2 linked regions of the Anolis sagrei genome follow. The protein of the gene in region 2 interacts with the protein of the main gene of each other region in a pairwise test. Links are inferred from orthologs where the notes say so. Each region holds a gene or a part of one and is shown on either strand. Other genes may lie near its edges.

Region 1 (7,781 bases), on a different chromosome or scaffold from region 2:
TATCGGCTCCTGGTGGCACAGGATTAAACCGCTGAGCTGCTGAACTTGTTGATCAAAAGGTCAGCGATTCAAATCTGGAGAGCAGGGGTGAGCTCCCCACTGCTACGCCCAGCTTCTGCCCACCTAGCAGTTTCAAAAACATGCAAATGTAAGTAGATCAATAGGTACCGCCTTGGAAGGTAACAGTGCTGCAAGCAGTCATACCGGCCACATGACCTTGGAGGTGTCTATGGACAACGCTGGCTCTTTGGCTTAGAAATGGAGATGAACACCAACCCTCAGAGTCAGACACGACTAAACTTAATGTCAGGGGAAACCTTTACCGATATATATATATATATATATATATATATATCTCCATTTCAACTCCCAGTCCTCCTTAATAAATCCATGAGTGTATGTGGTTCTCCTTTCAGTGATATCACCTTGTAGCCTATCATCCAATAAATATCCATGCCATTTGAAATGAATCGGTTCCCCATCCGTTTGGCCTTGCCCACCTTGACGTGCTTCCGGACCACCTGAGTGCGCTCCAGGCGCTGCTCCTCGGGGATGCCGATCTCCTCCCAGATGTCATGCAGGTGCCTCAAGGCCTGGCTCAGGCAGGCCACCGACTCATCCGCCAGGACCTCGCTGCAGGGAAGCAGAAGCAAAGTTAGGAGGGAGCCCCAAATGCCATCTAGTCCAGGCTTGGGCAAGCTTTGGCCCTCCAGGTGTTTTGGACTCCAACTCCCATCATTCCTAACAGCCTCAGGCCCTTTCCTTTTCCCCCTCAGCCGCTTAAGGAAAGGGCGCAGAAGCCACACAACAACATCCCAACCTTTTCCACTCTTGGGAGAAAGTGGGGAGAGCTGGTGGAAATAGGATATAATTGGCATCTTGGGAAGGAATGTAATAGGACATGGGCATGTCATTCAAATATGGGACCGTCCCTTAACATCCTATATGACTGGCAACCCAACTTCCAAGGTCTGGCCAAAGGGCTGCAGTGATGAGGGCTTCCCTCCACGACTCAAGGCATTTGTGGGGCTCCTGCATCCAAAAGAAATCCCATATTATGAGGGGTCACAGCCCTATCTCTGAAAGCAGCGGACCCAACGCCCCATGGAAAAGGCCCTTTGTGCAGTTCCAGTGAAGCCCAGCATATGGCACTGTTTTCATAGAATTATAGAATCAAAGAGTTGGAAGAGACCTCATGGGCCATCCAGTCCAACCCCTTGCCAAGAAGCAGGAATGTTGCATTCAAATCACCACTGACAGATGGCCACCCAGCCTCTGTTTAAAAGCTTCCAAAGAAGGAGCCTCCACCACACTCCGGAGCAGAGAGTTCCACTGCTGAACGGCTCTCACAGTCAGGAAGTTCTTCCTCGTGTTCAGATTGTTCCGCATCCTAGTCTCCAGGGAAGCAAAAAACAAGCTTGCTCCCTCCTCCCTGTGGCTTCCTCTCACATATTTATACATGGCTATCATATCTCAGCCTTCTCTTCTTCAGGCTAAACATGCCATTATATGAATTTGTAAAAAAAAATAAGAATAAAACAAGGCATTGCAATAATAAACAGTAATATTATGTAATAAAATTTGGGAAAAATAACTGTTCTTGATTTGAAAGTGTTCTTTCCCGTTCAATAGTGCGGCACTTACTCTGGCAGTAGTTATTCTACTCCAAAAACTTCATTTTTGCGGCTGCCACAAACTAGGTTGGGTTTGGTTAAAGCTCAGTGATGAGATATTCATTGAAAAACTAGACCAGGGGCCCTCAAACGTTTTAAACAGAGGGCCAGGTCACAGTCCCTCAAACTGTTGGAGGGCCGGATTATAATTTGAAAAAAACATGAACGAATTCCTATGCACACTGCACGTATCTTATTTTTAGTGCAAAAAACACTTAAAAACAATACAATAATTAAAATGAACAATTAAAAAATACAGGGGCCTGAGGCTGTTAGGAATGATGGGAGTCCAAAACACCTGAAGGGCCAAAGTTTGCCTGGACTACATCGAGGGAAGTCATGGTGCCTCTCTATTCTGCATTATTATTATTATTGTATTGTCAAAGGCTTTCATGGCTGGAATCACTAGGTTCTTGTGGGTTTTTACGGGCCATAGAGCCATGTGCTAGAGGCATTTCTCCTGACGTTTCGCCTGCATCTATGGCAAGCATCCTCAGAGGTTGTGAGGTCTGTTGGAATTAGGACAATGGGTTTATATATCTCTGGAATGACTGGGGTGGGGCACATTATTATTATTGCAATGCAACTATTTGGTCTGCTCCTGACATGAAAAATAAATAAATTATTATTATTATTCTATTCTGCATTATTATTATAATAATAATTATTATTCTATATTGCATTTTTATTATTATTCTGCATTATTATGCCCATACCTGCCATAAGTAATCGAATCCCCCAATCGGAAGGGACCCCCAAAGGTCATCTAGTCCAACCCCTTTCTGCCAAACAGGATGACACAATCCAATCCCTCCAGATAGACGGCCCTGCAGCCCCGTAGTAGTATAAGTTTTATGGAAGCCGTAGTCAGAGAATTCTCAAATTGGAAGGGAGCCCCCCAAAGGTCATTTAGGCTGACCCCCTTCTTTCTGCCACGCAGAGTCACCAGCAAAGCCCTCCCAGCAGATGGCCACCCATCCTCTGCTTGAAGAACTACAGAAAAGGAGACTCCACTGGACTCCCAGAGTTGAAAGGGACTCCTGAAGGACATCCAGTGCAGCTCTCTTCTTCTTGCCAGATAGGAGGACACAATACAATCACTCCCGACAGATGGCCACCCGGCCTCTGCTTGAAAGAGGCCCAGGAAAACACGCCCCCTCCCCTCCTATTTTCCCTACCTTTTCCGCATGGCTCCCGGCCTTCTGCCCAGCTCCGGGACCTGCATCCTCCTCCTCCTCTCGCTGGGTCAAGAAGCAACGGCGACGGAGGTGAAAACGACAGCGACCGTTTTGTGCTGGGCTCCGCCTTAGATTCAAATACTCCGCGCCGCTTCCTGATTGGCTCCGCTTCCGATGACGCGCCACGTAGCCACGCCCCCCGCCGAGAGGAAGGCCCCGCCGTCGCTTTCTGATTGGCTCCATCAAGCCACGCGCCCTACCGAAGGAAGAACACGCCCTCCAGCGCTCCTTCGGACCAATCAGAAGTCAGATGCCGGGGGGTGTGGCTCTAGGACATCCTTGAACTTCTCAGTTGAATCCAGAGAAGCCTCCCAGGAGCCCAACGCCTCATCCTTATTATAGGAGGAATTATAAATAAATTATATTATATATTATTGTTATACATATACATATACATATATATATATATATAATTACACTAATATATAACATAATTTATTTATAATGTAATTTATAAATTATTATGTATAATTTATATATATAATTTATATGTATAATTACAATAATATATAACATTATTTATAATTCCTATAATTTATATATCTAAATTATATATATATATATATAATTATATTATATATAATTTATATATTACATTATAAACAAATTGTTATATATTAGTGTAATTATAATTATATATATATAAAATTACAATAAAATAAACAATTTATTTATAATGTAATATATAAATTATTATATATAATATTTTATTTATTATTTACATCACTTTTTCCCACCCATATCAGCCCGCAGGCGACTCAGGGCGGTCTACATATCGGCACAATTCGATGCCATCAATACAATACAAAAGCAAAAACAATTAAGTGCATTTAGACAAAAAAGACAGTGCAATAACAATTTAAAAAGAGCTATATCCTCTCATTCCAATCCTCATCCGTTTCGTTGTCTTGGCCGTTCCTGAGTCATTCTCCATCTCAAGCTTGACTATCTATTCCGGGGTTCCGAATGCCTCCTCGAAGAACCAGGTTTTCACTCTCTTACGAAAGGTCAGGAGGGAAGGGGCTGATCTAATATCCCTAGGCAAGGAGTTCCACAGCCGAGGGGCCACCACAGAGAAGGCCCTGTCTCTCGTTCCCGCCAAGCGTTGCTTGCGAAGCAGACGGGATTGAGAGCAGGGCCTCCTCAGATGATTTTAACTTCCTGGAGGGTTCGTAGGAAGAGATGCGTTCAGATAGGTAGGCTGGGCCAGAACCGTTTAGGGCTTTATAGGCTAAAGCCAGCACTTTGAAATATATACAATTATAGTAAACATTGTGATGATGTCATGTGTTACAGTTGTACCAAAAGAGGACAAAAGCGATCTATCCTTTTGTTTTAATTATAACCTTACATCATTAACACCTTTGCTTTGTAGGGTTATGTAATTAATTACAAAACAGGTAAAGGTTCCCCACTGACATTAAGTCTAGTCGTGTCCAACTCTCGAGGGTGGTCTCATCTACATTTCTAAGCCAGTGCCGGCATTAGACACCTTCTAGGTCATGTGGCCTGCATGACTGCATGGAGCACCATTACCTTCCCGCTGGATAGATACCTATTGATATACTCATGTTTTCAAACTGCTAGGTTGGCAGAAGCTGGGGCTAACAGTGGGAGCTCACCCTGCTCCCTGGATTCAAACTACCGACCTTTTGGTCAGCAAGTGCAGCAGCTCAACAGTTTAACCCATTGCACCACCAGGTTATGTATAACTGGTCAATTTCACATTCTGTTATAGAAGGCATGGGCAAACTTTGGCCCTCCAGGTGTTTTGGACTTTAACTCCAACAATGCCATTGGTCCTCCAGGTGTTTGAAATCCAAAACACCTGGAGGGCCAAAGTTTGCCCATGCCTCCTTTATAGCCTTATGCCTAGCAGAGATCGTCAGGCATTTTGTGTAATACATTAAACAACATTTAATTTCAAATATGTTTTTATGGGTTTTAAGTTGTTTAAAAAATATCAGTGATATTAATTTAGTTCTGTTTTAATGTTTGTATATTTGTATATTTTTAAAATTGCATGGAAATGCTTTCAATGGAAGCCGTTTTCAGAGTAAACATATTAAGTTAACATAATAATAATAGCAGCCATTTATTTATTTATTTATTTATTTATTTATTTATTTATTTATTTATTTGTTGTGTCAGAGCAACCAGTCCATTATATTACATTTCTAACAGAACAAAGCAAACAAACAGAAAAATACAAAATGTGTGAGTTTGGTAGTTGGTTAAATGTCCTTTGACCAGTATCTGGCCACTTGGAGTGCCTCCGGTGTTGCTGCAAGAAGGTCCTCCATTGTGCATGTGGCTGGGCTCATGTTGCATTGCAGCAGGTGGTCAGTGGTTTGCTCTTCTCCACACTCACATGTCGAGGATTCCACTTTGTGGCCCCATTTCTGAAGGTTGGCTCTGCATCTCGTGGTGCCAGAGCGCAGTCTGTTCAACGCCTTCCAGGTCGCCCAGTCTTCTGTGTGCCCAGGAGGGAGTTTCTCATTTGGTATCAGCCATTGGTTGAGGTGCTGGGTTTGAGCCTGCCACTTTTGGACTCTCGCTTGCTGAGGTGTTCCAGCAAGTGTCTCTGTAGATCTTAGAAAACTATGTCTAGATTTAAGTCGTTGACGTGCTGGCTGATACCCAAACAGGGGATGAGCTGGATATGTCTCTGCCTTGGTCCTTTCACTATTGGCTGCCACTTCCCGGCGGATGTCAGGTGGTGCAATACCGGCTAAGCAGTGTAATCTCTCCAGTGGTGTAGGGCGCAGACACCCCGTGATAATGCGGCATGTCTCATTAAGAGCCACATCCACGGTTTTAGTGTGGTGAGATGTGTTCCACATTGGGCATGCATACTCAGCAGCAGAGTAGCACAGCACAAGGGCAGATGTCTTCACTGTGTCTGGTTGTGATCCCCAGGTTGTGCCAGTCAGCTTTCGTATGATATTGTTTCTGGCACCCACTCCGCTGGCTGTTGGAGCTGATGAACAACTGCACTGCATCCTGTCAGATCCCCAAAATCTGGAGGAAAGCAAGAGTCATCGCCATCTTGAAGCCAGGCAAAGACCGTAATGACCCAAAAAGCTACAGACCAATCTCCCTGTTGTGCCACCTCTACAAAGTTCTGGAGAGACTTATTTTGCATAGAATTATGGAAAAAATAGACCCATGTCTGATTCCACCTCAAGCTGGCTTCAGGAAAGGCAAAAGTTGCACATCGCAAGGGCTGAACCTGACTCAGCACATAGACCTGTCAGCAGCCTATGATACTGTGAACCACTACCTCCTCATGAGAAAAATGTATAATATCACAAAGGACAACTACCTCACCTGCCTCATAGGAAACCTGCTACAAAACAGGAGCTTTTTTGTTGAGTTCCAGGGCCAGAGAAGCAGATGGCGGAAACAGAAGAACGGCCTGCCTCAGGGGAGTGTGCTTGCTTCATCCATGTTCAACATCTACACAAATGACCAGCCACTGCCGGAAGGGACAGAGAGTTTCATCTATGCTGATGATCATGCCCTTACCGCTCAAGCAGGGAGCTTTGAGATGGTTGAACAGAAGCTTTCCGAAGCTCTAGGTGCTCTTACTGCCTATTACAGGGAAAACCAGCTGATCCCTAATCCATCCAAAACAGACATGTGCCTTTCATCTCAAGAGCAGAGAAGCATCCCGAGCTCTGAAGATCACCTGGGAAGGAATCCCATTGGAGCATTGCAGCGCACCCAAATACCTGGGAGTCACTCTGGACCGTGCTCTTACCTACAAGAAGCACTGCCTGAACATCAAGCAGCTGTTTGATGTATGTTTATGAATTCAATAAATAAATAAATATGGGGCCTCGGTAGCACAGCAGGTTAAACCGCTAGCTGCAGAAAAACTTGCTGACCGGAAGGCTAGCAGCTCGAAGCCACGGGTCGGGGTGAGCTCCTGCTGTTAGCCTTAGCTCCTGCCAACCTAGCAGTTCAAAAACATGTAATGTGAGTAGATCAATAGGTACTGCCTCAGCGAGAAGGCAAAAGGCACCCTGCAGCCATGCCAGTAAACACGACTAGGAGGGTCTACATACAACAGACTCCTCAGCATGGATAAATGGAACAAGAGCACCTCCACATGACCAGAGTTGAGCATCGCGTCCAGATGCCGGAGATGGAAACCTTTGCCTTTGTTTATATCCAATCCAATAGGCCTTTATTGGCATATATAACAAGACATTATAAAATAGGAGTATAAATTATAGAAAATGAAACTTCACATTTACTACATCACATTTGAAACTTGCACATCTGCGTGTAGCCTTTGTTTATATATTGTATGTCATTGTTCACTGTATAAAAAGCATTGAATGTTTGCCTACATATGTGTATACTGTAATCCGCTCCGAGTTCCCTTGGGGAGATAGAGTGGAATATAAATAAAGTGTATTATTACTATTATTATTATTATTATTATTATTATTATTATTATATCGGCTGCCCAAAGCAAGGAGAAGCGGCAGAGCAGAGGAAAGGCAGGGTCTGCATTCAGTAAATAAAAACTTGGAGAGAGAGAGAGAGAGAGAGAGAGATGTGCTGGAGGAGTTTTATGTTTATGAATTCAATAAATAGATACAAATTGTCCAGTCATGCCTTGCCCTCCATTGTGGCCTCTAGCAATCGGACGCTGTTGGTGATGGCTGTGGTCAGGAACACAAACCGGAGCCCTAGGAGGAGAAGGAGGAGAATGTAACAGAATTAACTTTCTTGAACACTTTCTATAACATAGCAGTAGAAAGTCAACAGCAGTTTTCCATTCAATTGTTGGTTCCTTAAAAGCCTCAGATCTCCATTGATAACTCAAGGCTGAATTTCTTATCTATTCCTTCCATAA
Region 2 (7,656 bases):
AGTTTGTTGAAATGTTGTTTGGAATTTTGATGAGTGTTGTGCATACCTTGTGGGTTGAGGTATATGCACTGCAAATTTGGTGAGTTTTCGTCGGGGGGTTTTCGCGTTTTGCTGTCCCGTTGAACACCCTTTCCATTTTTATATATATAGATAATCATCATCATCATCATCATCATCATCTATATAAATAAAAATGTAATGTTCGTTTGTGGTATTCACAGAACTCAAAAACCGCTGGGAAAATTTACACCAAATTTGGACAGCATACACCTAACAACCCAATGTATGTTCTTCACTCATTTTTTTTTATTTTGTCATTTGGGAGTTGTAGTTGCTGGGATTTATAGTTCGTCTACAATCAAAGAGCATTCTGAACTCCACTAATTATGGCATTGAACCAAACGTGGCACAAAGGATTCCCATGACAAATAGAAAACACTAGAAGGGTTTGGTGGGCATTGACCTTGAGTTTGCGAGTTGTAGTTCACCTACGTCCAGAGAGCACTGTGGACTCAAATAATGTTGGATCTGGACCAAACTTGGCACAAATATTCCATATGCAGAAATATGAACACTGATGGAGTTAGGGGGAAATAGACTTTGACATTTGGGAGTTGAAGCTACTGGGATTTATAGTTCACCTACAATCAAAGAGCATTCTGAACCCCACCAATGACAGAATTGAGGCAAACTCCCCACACAGAACCCCCATAACCAACAGAAAATACTCAAGGCCATCCAGTCCAACTCCCTTCACCAGGGCAAATCAAAACCCTCCTGACAAAGAGCCATCCAGCCATAGATATAGATAGATATATATGATTCACACACACACAGTTATAGTATCATAGATTTTAAAGGGCTCCGTAAAGAAGGACAATTATACAGGGTTAGTCAAAATGCATAGGCCAATAAGCCATTCAATTGAATGGCTTATTGGCCTATGCATTTTGACTAACCCTGTATGTTGCATGTTACAGAGTAGGCAAACCAGACAATCTCCACATCAACATTGATAAAGAAACAGCAAGAAATACTGTTTACCCACAACCATAAAGAAATTAGATATATTAGAAACCAACACTTTCTCATTACTTGATTTTCCAGATCACCAGACTGGGCCACAGCAACGCCTGGCAGGGGACAGCTACTACTAATAATAATAATGAAACCTTACTTACTTACTTAGGTGATCCCTCATTGTCCGAGTAGGATTGTCTTCCAAGATCGGTGTACTTGCGGTGGTTCCGTAGGTGACTGTGAAGCCCTATTCTTGACCTGCATGTTCTCCCACAGTGAGGGCATCGGTTTCCATGTGGAAAGCAGTCCTGGTCGGGGTTGGCTTGACGCACCTTCCTCTTGGCACGTTTCTCACTTTCACCCTCCATTCTGCCTCTTCAAATTCTACAGCACTGCTGGTCACAGCTGACCTCCAACTGGAGCGCTCAAGGGCCAGGGCTTCCCAGTTCTCAGTGTCTATGCCAGAGTTTTTAAGGTTGTCTTTGAGCCCATCTTTCAATCTCTTTTCCTGCCCACCAACATTCCGTTTTCCGTTCTTGAGTTCGGAGTAGAGCAACTACTTTGGGAGACGGTGGTCGGTCCAGCGGAGTTGATAGCGGAGGAGCATCACTTCAGTGCTGGTGGTCCTTGCTTCTTCTAGCATGCTGACATTTGTTGCAAGCAGTAGTATGGGTGTTAGAAGGGGAGAAAGGGGTACTCGTGAGCAGGAGTCAGATGAGGAACAACAAAGGAAAAGGATCCGGGATATACTTATGGCACCTACCGATGAAGACTCATTCGAAGGGTTTTCCGGGGATGAAGGGTCAATGAGTGAGGGAGAGGAAGACGATACAATGGATGGGAATAGGGGAACAAAGAGGGTTACCTGAGAGCAAGAATCGGATGAGGAGCGACAGAGGAAGAGGATATATTTACTGCTCCCATAGATGAAGAATCATTTGTAGGTTTCTCTGGGAGTGATGGGTCAGGGAGCGATGAAGATGGGGATGACACGTTGGACTGGACTAAGGTAAAAGAGATACAAACTGTATGTGCAGAGCCAACGTCTAGTGATACATTTGTAGGGTTCTCTGGTAACGAGGACTGGCAATCGGGGAATACATTTGAGTCTTGTGTGGGGGAATCTAAGTCTTGACAGAAGTTGGAGAAGTTGGAGGGATGGGAGTAGGAATTCACGTGTGGAGTCAAGAACAGCTGTAAGAGATTATGATGGGGCGGAGGTCAGCTCATCTTCTGATGATGATGTGTAAGATAAAAGTAGGCTCTGAAATGGGGAATCTTTGCAGAAGGCAAGGTGTTGGTTTCGTCCGTGCATTGGGTACTTGTCGCTGCCTGTCATGTTGGTATTGGGTCCTGCATCTACAGGTTACTGCTTCCTTTCGTGTGTGTTTCTGGCCTACAACTCCCAGAAATCCTAGCCAGTTTACCAGCTGTTAGGATTTCTGGGAGTTGTAGGCCAAAAACGTCTGGGGACCCCAGGTTGAGAAGCACTGCTGTAGACCATGGCCATATAGCCCAAAAAACCCCACAACAACCCAGTAATGTTAGTTTGTGAGATTCTCAAAAACCACTGGACGAATTGACACTAAATTTAGACACAAGACACCTCTCAGGCCAACAAGTGACCACTTATAAAAACACTGGAAAACACAGCAGAAGAGACTTAAAAATAATAATAAAAGGGTGCTGTCTCCTTTCTGTTGAAATTGCCTGCATGCTTGTGGATTTCTCTGTATGGTCTGAACATAGCAAGTGGTTTATTTTATTGTTGTGTCAGAGCAACCAGTCCATTATATTACATTTCTAACAGAACAAAGTAAACAAACAGAAAGATACACAACTTGTGAATTTGGTAGTTGATTAATTGTCCTTTGACCAATATCTGTCTACTTGGAGTGCCTCTGATGTTGCTGCAAGAAGGTCCTCCCTGGTGCATGTGGCAGGGCTCAGGGTGCATTGCAGCAGGTGGTCAGTGGTTTGCTCCTCTCCGCACTCGCATGTCGAGGATTCCACTTTGTGGCCCCATTTCTGAAGGTTGGCTCTGCATCTCGTGGTGCCAGAGCGCAGTCTGTTCAGCGCCTTCCAAGTCGCCCAGTCTTCTGTGTGCCCAGGGGGGAGTCTCTCATTTTGTAACAGCCATTGGTTGAGGTGCTGGATTTGGGCCTGCCACTGTTGGACTCTTGCTTGCTGAGGCATTCCAGCGAGTGTCTCTGTAGATCTTAGAAAACTTTGTCTAGATTTAAGTCGTTGGCGTGATGGCTGATACCCAAACAGGGGATGAGCTGGAGATGTCTCTGCCTTAGTCCTTCCACTATTGGCTGCTACTTCCCGGCGGATGTCAGGTGGTGCAATACCTGCTAGACAGTGTAATTTCTCCAGTGGTGTAGGGTGCAGACACCCCGTGATAATGCAGCATGTCTCATTCAGAGCCACATCCACTGTTTTAGCGTGGTGAGATGTGTTCCACACTGGGCATGCATACTCAGCAGCAGAGTAGCATAGCGCAAGGGCAGATGTCTTCACTGTGTCTGGTTGTGATCCCCAGGTTGTGCCAATCAGCTTTCATATGATATTGTTTCTAGTACCCACATTTTGCTTGATGTTCAGGCAGTGCTTCTTGTAGTTGCAACATCAACTCCGCTGGGCCAGCCACGTTGTCCGGATGCCTGACCACCGTCTCCCAAAACAGTTGCTCTACTCCGAACTTAAGAACGGAAAACGGAATGTTGGTGGGCAGGAAAAGAGATTGAAAGATGGGCTCAAAGCCAACCTTAAAAACTCTGGCATAGACACTGAGAACTAGGAAGCCCTGGCCCTTGAGCGCTCCAGCTGGAGGACAGCTGTGACCAGCAGTGCTGCAGAATTTGAGGAGGCACGAGTGGAGGGTGAAAGAGAGAAACGTGCCAGGAGGAAGGCGCGTCAAGCCAACCCCGACCGAGACCGCCTTCCACCTGGAAACCAATGCCCTCACTGCGGAAGAAGATACAGAGCAAGAATAGGGCTCCACAGCCACATACGGACCCACAAGGAAATCCATAATGGAAGACCATCTTACTCGTCCAATGAGGGATCGCCTAAGTAAGTAAGTAAGTAAGCTTCTTGTAGGTCAGAGAACGGTCCAGAGTGACTCCCAGATATTTGGGTGTGCTGCAATGCTCCAGTGGGATTCCTTCCCAGGTAATAATCCACAGAGCTCAGGATGCTTGTCTGTTCTTGAGATGAAAGGCACATGTCTGTGTTTTAGATGGATTAGGGATCAGCTGGTTTTCCCTGTAATAGGCAGTAAGAGCACCTAGAGCTTCGGAGAGCTTCTGTTCAACCATCTCAAAGCTCCCTGCTTGAGTGGTGATGGCACGATCATCAGCATAGATGAAACTCTCTGTCCCTTCTGGCAGTGGCTGGTCATTTGTGTAGATGTTGAACATGGATGGAGCAAGCAAGTGGTGGGATTAGCCCAGCCTGCCTGGGTTCTCCAATCATATGCTCCCCCGCATGCGCAGTGCGGTCCTTTCCCGGGTTGCCCTAGCGCGCATGCGTGCTGCGGTTTCCTGGCGGCCGGCGAATGCAGCAGAGGCGGCGCGCGGGGAGGCAGTGGCGGCAGCGCATGCGCAGTGAGTGTCAGGCTGGGTCTGTTTTCTTTCCTTCCTCCCTCCCTCCGGCCCGGAGGAGCGCCTCTGAGGGGAGATGGGGGGCGGCTTGGCGGGGGGCCTGCGGGGGCCTGGGGGGCCGTGAACGCGGGAGACTCCATGGGCTGACCCAGGCGTGTGTTTGCCTCCCTCAGAGAGGCCGGCGGCGGAGGAGGAGGAGGAGGAGGAGGAGGAGGAAGAGAAGAGAAGAGAGAGAGAGGCCGAGCGGGCCTAGAGGGAGGCCGGCCAGCCATGGACGAGCAGAGCGTGGAGGTGAGCAAAGGCCTGCTTCTCATTCACGGTTGGGCCTCCCTCCACACATAGGAATCATTCACAGACGCACATTACCCTTTATACAGTCTCCTGTGCTATACTCAGAATATAAAATATTGTATATATATATATCATGTGTTTGTGTAGTCTCCTGTGCTATACTAATACTAATAATACTATACTAATACTATACTAATAATAATATACTAATAATATAATATAAGGTAATGCAACTCCAGGCAGTCATGCCGGCCACCTGACCTTGGAGGTGTCTATGGACAACGCCAGCTCTTCGGCTTAGAAATGGAGATGAGCACCACACCCCAGAGTCAGACACGACTGGGCTGCATGTCAGGGGAAAACCTTTACTAATACAGTATATGACTACTGCTAATACAATATTATATATATATATACTGTATATGTATATATATATATATATATATATATAACATGTAATATTACTAATTATCAATATAGTAATATATATATATGCTGTATTGTCGAAGGCTTTCATGGCCGGAATCACTCAGTTCTTGTGGGTTTTTTCGGGCTATATGGCCATGTTCTAGAGGCATTTCTCCTCTAGAACATTTCTCCAGGAGAAATGCCTCTAGAACATGGCCATATAGCCCGAAAAAACCCACAAGAACTGAGTATATATATGCTTCTCGTTCAGCGTTGGGCCTCCACGCATAGGAATCATTCGCAAACGCACACACACACACACACACATATTACATGTAATATTGCTAATTATAATGGTATAGTACAATATAGCAATATATATAATAATATTGTGCTATTCTAATGATATAATATATTGTATGTATATATATCATGTGTTTGTGTAGTCTCCTGTGCTATACTAATACTAATAATACTATACTAATACTATACTAATACTAATATACTAATAATATAATATAATATAAGGTAATGCAACTCCAGGCAGTCATGCAGGCCACCTGACCTTGGAGGTGTCTACGGACAACGCCGGCTCTTCGGCTTAGAAATGGAGATGAGCACCACACCCCAGAGTCGGACACGACTGGACTGCATGTCAGGGGAAAACCTTTACTAATACAGTATACGACTACTGCTAATACAATATTATATATATATATATATATATATATAATATTACATGTAATATTACTAATTATAATGGTATAGTACAATATAGTAATATATATGATAATATTGTGCTATTCTAATAATATAATATATTGTATGTGTATATATCATGTGTTTGTGTAGTCTCCTGTGCTATACTAATACTAATAATACTAATAATACTATACTAATACTAATATACTAATAATATAATATAATATAAGATAAGATAATGCAACTCCAGGCAGTCATGCCGGCCACCTGACCTTGGAGGCGTCTACAGACAACGGCAGCTCTTCGGCTTAGAAATGGAGATGAGCACCAACTCCCAGAGTCGGACACGACTGGACTGCATGTCAGAGGAAAACCTTTACTAATACAATATAGGACTACTGCTAATACAATATATATATATATATATATATATATATATATATATATATATATATAAAACATGTAATATTACTAATTATAGTGGTATAGTACAATATATTAATATATATAATAGTATTTTGCTATGCTAATGATATAATATATTGTATGTATATGTATCATGTGTTTGTGTAGTCTCCTGTGCTATACTAAGAATACAATGTTATCTATATAAATAAAAATGTAATGTTCGTTTGTGGGATTAACAGAACTCAAAAACCACTGGACGAATTGACACCAAATTTGGACACAAGACACCTAACAACCCAATGTATGTTCTTCACTCAAAAATGATTTTGTCTTTTGGGAGTTGTAGTTGCTAGGATTTATAGTTCACCTACAATCAAAGAGCATTCTGAACCCCACCAGCGATGGAATTGAACCAAACTTGGCACACAGTTCTCCCATGACCAACAGAAAATACTGGAAGGGTTTGGTGGGCAGTGTCCTTTGGTTTTGGAGTTGTAGTTCACCTACATCCAGAGAGCACTGTGGACTCAGACAGTGATGGATCTGGACCAAACTCTACATGAATACTCAATATGCCCAAATTTGAGCACTGGTGGAGTTTGGGGGAAAATAGAATCTTGACATTTGGGAGTTGTAGTTGCTGGGATTTATAGTTCACCTACAATCACAATCACAGATCATTCTGAACCCCACCAACAATAGAATTGGGCCAAACCTCCCAAACAGAATCCCCATGTGGGCCACAGCAACGCGTGGCAGGGGACAGCTAGTATATATACATAAAATATTTATAATATTATAATGTAATGCAATACGAATCTAATAGTAATACAATATTAATATATATTTTATATTACTAATATTATTACTAATAATATTACAATATGGTATTATAATATATTGTATATACATATAATATTTATAATATTATAATGTATTACTAATAATAATACAATATTATAATTATATATGTTATATCACATGTAATATTACTAATAATATTACAATATAATGGTATAGTACAGTATAGTAATATATATAATGATATTGTGCTATGCTAATAATATAATATATTGTATTGTTTATACATATAATATTTATAATATAATGTAATACAATATAATACTAATAATAATAATACAATTTTATAATTATATATTTTATTTTACATGTAATATTACTAATATTGTTATAATTTTTATAGTTTTTATAGCTTCTA

Evidence for each region.
Region 1: the proteins of TRIM37 (region 2) and PRC1 interact in binary tests that used the Homo sapiens proteins (3 or more experiments, as listed by UniProt). The link is inferred for Anolis sagrei from reciprocal best matches to the Homo sapiens genes TRIM37 and PRC1.

Annotation. Positions count from the first base shown.
Region 1 is NC_090029.1:22,722,512-22,730,292, forward strand, and holds the start of PRC1 (protein regulator of cytokinesis 1), read right to left. Parts: upstream 3,002-7,781; 5' UTR 2,899-3,001; coding exon 2,852-2,898; intron 634-2,851; coding exon 501-633; intron 1-500. Other genes in the region: VPS33B (vacuolar protein sorting-associated protein 33B), read right to left, coding at 7,535-7,614. UniProt on the Homo sapiens protein: Key regulator of cytokinesis that cross-links antiparrallel microtubules at an average distance of 35 nM. Essential for controlling the spatiotemporal formation of the midzone and successful cytokinesis.
Region 2 is NC_090031.1:22,626,600-22,634,255, reverse strand, and holds the start of TRIM37 (E3 ubiquitin-protein ligase TRIM37), read left to right. Parts: upstream 1-4,653; 5' UTR 4,654-4,898; coding exon 4,899-4,919; intron 4,920-7,656. UniProt on the Homo sapiens protein: E3 ubiquitin-protein ligase required to prevent centriole reduplication. Probably acts by ubiquitinating positive regulators of centriole reduplication.